Cricetulus griseus: one gene and its partner. Each later gene encodes a partner of the first gene's protein in a complex. Links are inferred from orthologs where the notes say so. Each region holds a gene or a part of one and is shown on either strand. Other genes may lie near its edges. The genes, in order: Banf1 and Emd.

Evidence for each region.
Region 2: the proteins of Banf1 (region 1) and Emd are in contact, whole or in part, in a crystal structure (PDB 7NDY), measured with the Homo sapiens proteins. The link is inferred for Cricetulus griseus from reciprocal best matches to the Homo sapiens genes BANF1 and EMD. Residues at the interface, in NP_001137457.1 of Homo sapiens: Arg37, Phe39, Gln48, Val51, Leu52, Lys53, Asp55, Leu58, Glu61, Trp62, Asp65; in NP_000108.1 of Homo sapiens: Pro22, His23, Gly24, Pro25, Val27, Ser29, Thr30, Arg32, Leu33, Tyr34, Lys36, Lys37, Glu40.

The regions. Positions count from the first base shown.
Region 1 is NC_048596.1:53,965,320-53,969,355, reverse strand, and holds Banf1 (barrier-to-autointegration factor), read right to left. Parts: upstream 2,711-4,036; 5' UTR 2,573-2,710; intron 1,960-2,572; 5' UTR 1,944-1,959; coding exon 1,821-1,943; intron 1,302-1,820; coding exon 1,155-1,301; 3' UTR 773-1,154; downstream 1-772. UniProt on the Homo sapiens protein: Non-specific DNA-binding protein that plays key roles in mitotic nuclear reassembly, chromatin organization, DNA damage response, gene expression and intrinsic immunity against foreign DNA.
Region 2 is NC_048604.1:1,458,269-1,461,116, reverse strand, and holds part of Emd (emerin), read left to right. Parts: intron 1-992; 5' UTR 993-1,147; intron 1,148-1,691; 5' UTR 1,692-1,997; coding exon 1,998-2,079; intron 2,080-2,243; coding exon 2,244-2,351; intron 2,352-2,478; coding exon 2,479-2,556; intron 2,557-2,725; coding exon 2,726-2,848. UniProt on the Homo sapiens protein: Stabilizes and promotes the formation of a nuclear actin cortical network. Stimulates actin polymerization in vitro by binding and stabilizing the pointed end of growing filaments. Inhibits beta-catenin activity by preventing its accumulation in the nucleus.

The DNA of each region.
Region 1 (4,036 bases):
CTAGCCTTTCACCAGTCCCTAGGCACTGTATAGTAGCCCTCAGAATAGGTGTGGGCCCACCCGGGGCCTATGTCTGTTGTTATGCAAACTAGGAGACATTCTCCACTGAGGCCAAACCATCTGCTAGCAACCAGTTGGACATCTAAAAGACATGTGAGATTCGAGCTCCTGGGATAGAGTTTGAGGCCTGTATCTGAAATACCATAATTGATATTTCAGGCCCCTGACAGAGGGCCAAAGGTCTTCACCTCTCTGAAATAATTAAAATGCTTACAAAGATGTTAGTTTCAGGCCAGTTCACGATATGAGCTTGAAAACAACAGGACTGGAATTTAATTTTCAAGTTTAACTATTTCCTTTCATGTCTATGATAGCTGGGCAAACAGCAAAAGTACCACCCATTCTTCCCAGAGGCTACAAGAGCACATGACATGATGACTGTCAGGTGAACTCTTACCCACATCCCACCCACCCTCTTCCTGGTACCTGACTCCTACTAACTTTTCCACCAGGTGCTGCCTGAATCAAATGTTGACATCTAGAAGCCTACAGCCTACCTGGCTCCCAGGAAGAAATCAACCCACAGTCTGTCCCACATTATTTAGGATTGGGACACTAGGGCACCTGCCCAAGTCCCACATGGCTAGGGTGGTTCCCTCTTGGGAGGGGAAAAAGAAGCCACCAGTTTCGGTCTGCACTGATAAGATATGTTCAGTCCCTGGGGAAGACATAACTCCCAGCGCACCTGCTTTCCAACACACAACACCAATCATGAAGGCCACTGACTTTATTAGTCTAAAAATCTTTGTAAGGGCGGTAACTATTTTCGACAAAAAAGAAAAAAACAAAAAAAAGAGCCAAAGGACATCCAACAGATCGTGAATGGAGGGAGAAAAGGGCTAGGAATCCATTGGGGAAAGTTAACTGTTGCCATGGAACTGCAGGGGGAGAGGAGAAAGGCATGCAAGGGCAAGAATCCTAAAAAGGTTGAAACGCTGAGGGGAGAGAACTCCCAAAAGACCCTGGAGTACATAGGAGGTGAGTGTGACAACAGTAATCTTTCCCTTCACGGAGGACAGGGAGGAGCCCCACCCGGCTTCAGACTCTGGAGACTCAATATTGTGGCTGGGGGGCTGAGGAGTCCCCAGAGTACATTACAAGAAGGCATCACACCATTCTCGAAGGCACCCAAAACAGTCCCGGGACTGCTTGGCATTGGCACCACACGTGTCCTTCAGCCATTCTCTGAAGAGGTCTTCATCTTTCTTTAGCACCAGAAACTGGCCAAGGACCACATAAGCCTATAAAACAGGAAGGGCATACAGCTAAGTGCCTTGTGAGCAAAGAGCAACCTGAAGGGGCCAGATCTCTGAAGCTAGGCAAGTCAGCTGATAAGCACTTGAGAGGGCAAGGCCATTTTGTTTTGGTTGTTTTGTTTAAGACAGGGTCTTGCTTTGTTGACTAGACTGGCATTAAACTAGATGAGAATCTGCTTGCCTCAATCTCACAAGTGCTGGGGTCATAGGGAGGACCCACTATACCTAGTTTCATCACCTTTGTGGCATTGAAAACACTCAAAGGGTAGGACACAGTAGGGCACACCTTTAATCCCAGCACTTGTGAGACAGAGATCCTGTCTCCAAAACAACAACAAAAATGACTTTGCCTCCCCAGATGCCCCCAAACCACTTCAAATTATCTACCACTGTCCGTGCCCTCCCCGTACCCCTACTTTTCCTAACTCCCAATTTTTTTGCTTGGAATCATCTGTTGCCAACTTTCACTCCTACCCCTCCCTGGCATCTGTGGCCACCCCACACCTTGTCAAAGCCCCTTTCCTCCAGCTTCTTGCCCAGGACTTCACCAATCCCGGCCAGGCTCCCCACTGGCTTTTCCCCCATGGGCTCTGCCACGAAGTCACGGTGCTTTTGGGAGGTTGTCATCTTGATCAGGTTTAACCTGGGAATCCCAAAAAAAGGCAGGTTAGGGCTGAAGACCACAACTCCCAAGGGCAACCTCCTAGGTCAGCTATTGTGGCTGCTTCCTCGATTCCCCCTCATCTCACACCTGAGAAAATTGGGGGCCAGGGAAAGTCTTTCCCCCGCTATTACATCCTGAAATCTCCACTTTCTGTGGGCCCTGGGATTTGGTAATGAGCTTGCACTAACAAGTGGCGCACGTAGAGAAAGACTCACAGCCTCAGCAGCCAGGGCCCGCCCTGAAGCTGTCACTCTTGGTGACCTTGGCCAGGCAAACACTGACCCCGACCGGAGCTACCACGTGGTAGAAATAGCAGCAAAAAGAGGGGCTCGTTACCCTCGCCGCCCTCCACAGGCCAACAGGCGCCGCGCACCGGCTCCCGCAGCCCGCCGGAGCCCACGCCTCGCGGCTCCCAGGCCCCGCCCCGGACGCGCCGCCCCGCCTCCTCCACGCGCCGCGGCTCGCACGCGCCGCGGCTCCCACGCTCCGCGCACCGCCCCTCCCGCAAGGCCAGGCTGGTCCGCTGCAGAGACGCGCCTCAGCCACGGGCGCTCCTCTCCCTCCCGCCTCCGCCGCCTAGCCGGAGCCTTACTTCGCCGCTCACGCTCACCGGCAGCTCCGGCTCTCGTAACGGCTCCTCCCGCCACTCGGCAGCTCCAGCCGATACCTCAAGTTGCTAGAACGTTCTTCAACTTCCGCTTCCGGGTCGTGTCAGGAGCCGCCTTTAAAAAAAAAATACCCGAATTGGGCACGTCTAGCCACAGAGAGCCATAGAGTTGAGGCGCAACCGCTAACTGCGGAGCCCACAGAGGTCGCTGTTTTCCGGTCCCTCACAGGAAGCCGCGCTGCTTTCTATGGTCGTGTTTCTCCGGCCCCGCTTCCCATCTATGAGACCGAGGCCTCCGAGGAGAATACTGTTATCTTTTTCTTGCCCAGCACCTGGAACTTAAAGACTTAGGTGGCCTGACTTGGTCGAGGGAAGACTAAAGGAACGGACAAAGAAGGGGCGGGGCATCCGGAGGGCTACTGAGAGCCCCGGAAGTGCAATTCTCGCGGGTTCCTCAGAGTCAGGTCTATCTGAAGCCGGCTGACGGCAGCTGGGAACACCGGTGGTCTGAGGCCAGGCGTCCAAACCGGCGCGACCGTCGTGACCACCTGCCAGTCGCATTTCTTTGCTTTTGTTGACTCCGTCTTGAAGTGAGTCGTAGACGAGCTGCGTTCAGCGTCTACCTGGAAAACGTAGCTTGCTTGTGTAACGCCGAGCGGGTGAGTGCTGTGGGCGGCTCTTTTCTCGAAGGGTTTTTCGGCTTGAAGCGCTGCGGTGGTGGCCGAGTCAGTCTACACCATGAGTGTTAGGAGGACGAGCATCTGTTGTATGGCTGACCTACACTTGGGGGTGTTAAAGCATGTGGAGGAAAGTAGTTTACTCAAACTTCCCCAAAGACGTTGTCAGCCCGGGCGGTGGTGGCGTAAGCATTTAATCCCAGCACTCGGGAGGCAGATGTAGTCAGATCTCTGTGAGTTCGAGACCACCCTGGTCTACAAGAGCTAGTTCCAGGATAGGCTCCAAAGCTACACAGAGAAATCCTGTTTCGGAAAAAACAAACAAAAGGTTGTCAGAATGATCGGCCTGGGAGGTGCGTATGGTTTCATCGTCACGTCAGTACTTATTTACATTTTTTTTGTTAGTTATTGAGAGGATATCTCGCTACGTAGACCAGACTGGCCTCCATATGCTTTCGTCTACCTCTGTGGTTTGGGATTAGAGTCTTGAGATTTAAGGCTTGAGCCATCCCCCTTTCTTCCAAGTAAGACTATAAGACATGTTTCCTGGTTTCTTTTACTGTGTGTGGGTGTTACAGGTGTCCTTGGTGGCCAGAAGAGGGCATTGGATTCCCCTAGAATTGGAGTTAGAGATGGTTGTGAACCAACTGATGTGGGTGCTGGGTCCTGAGACATCTCTCCGGCCCTTAAACGTCATGTTTGCTTCATTTTTGAGACAGGGTTTCACTATGTAGACCAGGCTGACCTAGAACGCAACAAATATCTGCATGCC
Region 2 (2,848 bases), on another chromosome or scaffold:
CCTAAAATTCCTTGACCTCATAAGGAAGCAACTTGATTCTGTAGGGGGGGCATAGGGTAGTACTGAGCAATCACTCTGTATGCAGAGGCCTCTGGGAGAGGGGCCAGCATAGGGGGAGGGAAATGCTGGGAAATCTGATTTTGCCAAAACTAAAAAATATTCATGAAGCAGCCTCTGAATGGACAGAATGTCTCTCTCTGCCCTACTCTGTCTCTCACTTACACACACTCCTGCCCAAGGTTCTCCTGTCTCTTCGTAAGACAGTATCTTTTCCAGGGATTCATATAGCTCCATTTCCAGGGACAGAGGAGGGCACTGTCTTTTAAATCCATTCAACACCAACCCTTCTTCATTAACGACTTTTTTATGTGGTCAAAACAGGGCTCCTTCTCATCATTGCCTACTTTAAACTTCCATAAAGAATTGGCCTGTGGCCTTCACCTAAATGCCATCAGGTCAGCCTAGAACTGATCAGAACACTCACTATCACTATCATTTAAGACAGTGGTTCTCAGCCGGGTGTTGGTGGCGCACACCTTTAATCCCAGCACTCGGGAGGCAGAGGCAGGCGGATCTCTGTGAGTTCGAGGCCAGCCTGGTCTTCAAAGCGAGTGCCAGGATAGGCTCCAAAGCTACACAGAGAAACCCTGTTTCGAAAAACCAAAAAAAAAAAAAAAACAAACATAACTATAGAAAAATTATAGTTGTGAAATAGCTACGAAAATAATTTTATGGTTGGGGTCACCACAACATGAGGAACTGCATTAAAGGTCACAGCATTAGGAAGGTTGATAACCACTGCTTTAAGAGATCAGGTATCCCAGGCACCTTTTCTGCATGTACCCCTCCTCCTAAGTCTGTCCAATAAGGGGCAGCCTACCTAGTTCCAGATGACTTTGTGTAGAACAATAAATACATGGTCACTATTCGAGATAACCTTTGTCTGATACAGATCCTTTGTAAGCCTTAATTGATTCCCGGTTTGCCTCTAGGTTGTGCACCCTGATGGCCTCCAAGGTCATACCAAGTTTAGGGGTTATTCTACTCTGCCAAACAAGAACTCTACTGCAGAACTCTTCAGGGCCCCAGGTGGATGGAAATGTGAGTTAGACAGGCACAAAGTGTACCCGTCTACACGCATCACAAGGTGGGTGTCTTCTGATTATGACCACTGGCATGTCTCGGGGCCTTTGGAAGGCTTCTTGGTCCTGGAGTGCTGGCAGCCTCCCTGGCCCAGTTGCTTGCCCCATTTCCTCCCAGATGGAGCTAGGGGGCAGGCAGGGCCACGGAGACTGAGAAGACCAGCGAAGATGGGTGGGGCGGGCCAGGGGTCTGCGGGTGGCTACTTAGGTGATGAGAGCCCTGAATCGCAGCTGTTTCTTGGCACTAGTGTGCACAAAGAGTTCCCAGCAGTACCAGGCTGTCTGAAAGGGTTCGCTCTCAGGATTGGACTCTTTGCATTGCTGTGGAACAGACTGCCCCTGAGGACCATAGTTCGCTAGAGCACTGAGAAATAAAATCGGAGTGAAGCCAGTGACAAAGAGATCCCAGTCTCCCAACCACAGACCCTTTTCCGCCCCTCTAGCACATCTAACTCTTAACACACCCTCTGCTAACGTCTAGCTAACCTGGGTAGTCTAGTCAGCTGCTCCCCTGGCTCTCCTACAGGCCCCTCCCTCTTCCTGTTCTAGCCAATCCCACACAAGTGTGACGTTTACATTCTCCAGCCCCGCCTGTTCCAACCGCCAGACCGGTCTGTACCGGCCATTCTGGCGGGTTTGAGCCTGCCCTAAGGAGCGCGCGCAACTCGCGTAGCCGTGGCCGCGTAGCCGTGGCTGTGACGCAAACGTAACGGAGGCGTGACGCGACCACAACCGCTTCTAAGGCGCTGGAGCTTCCTTCGTCGCTCTAGGAGCTGTCCGTTTCCTAGGCCGTGTCCATAGGCCCGGGCCACCCCTTACGTTCAACACCGCTCCCCGGTGTCGGCCGGGTCTGCCATGGACGACTATGCTGTTTTATCCGACACTGAGCTGGCCGCCGTGCTACGCCAGTACAACATCCCGCATGGGCCTATCGTGGGTACGCGGCAGACTGTGGCGCGGAGAACCTATCCCAGGCCCCGCTTTCCCGCGCTCCTCGCTGAGCGTTATCCCCTACCTCCTCGTCCCCTCCCCGTATTCCCCGGCGCACTCGGGGTGCCCAGCTCGCACCCCCTGACCGCCTCGCACCCTGTATCTGACCAGGCTCCACTCGCAAGCTCTACGAAAAGAAAATCTTCGAGTACGAGACCCAGAGACGGAGGCTCTCGCCCCCCAACTCGTCATCCTCTTCATTCTCTTACAGGTTCTCAGGTGAGTCCCCCGCCGCAGAGCCTGGCTGAGCTGCTTGGAGACACAAGGCTTGGGGAGGGAGGGTGTGGCTGAAGCAATTGAGGGAATAGAGGGATGCCTAATGGTCTCTACCTCCCCCTTAATGCAGACTTGGATTCAGCCTCCGTGGACTCAGACATGTATGATCTGCCCAAAAAAGAGGATGCCTTACTTTACCAGAGCAAGGGTAAGACAGGTGTGGGGTGGGTCCTTTATCAGGGAATTTGGGCACAGGGAAACCTAAGACTTCACCCCAGTTCTCAATGGCTCTAGAGTGGAGAAACTGTCACAGCACACACACAGAATTTGGGGCCATGAGGTCACTTTCTCCTTTACCACTGTTTTTCCTTCCCAAGAATATAATGACGACTACTATGAGGAGAGTTATTTGACCACCAGGACATATGGGGAGCCCGAGTCTGTGGGTATGTCCAAGAGCTTTCGCCAGCCAGGGACCTCACTTGCAGATACCCACACCT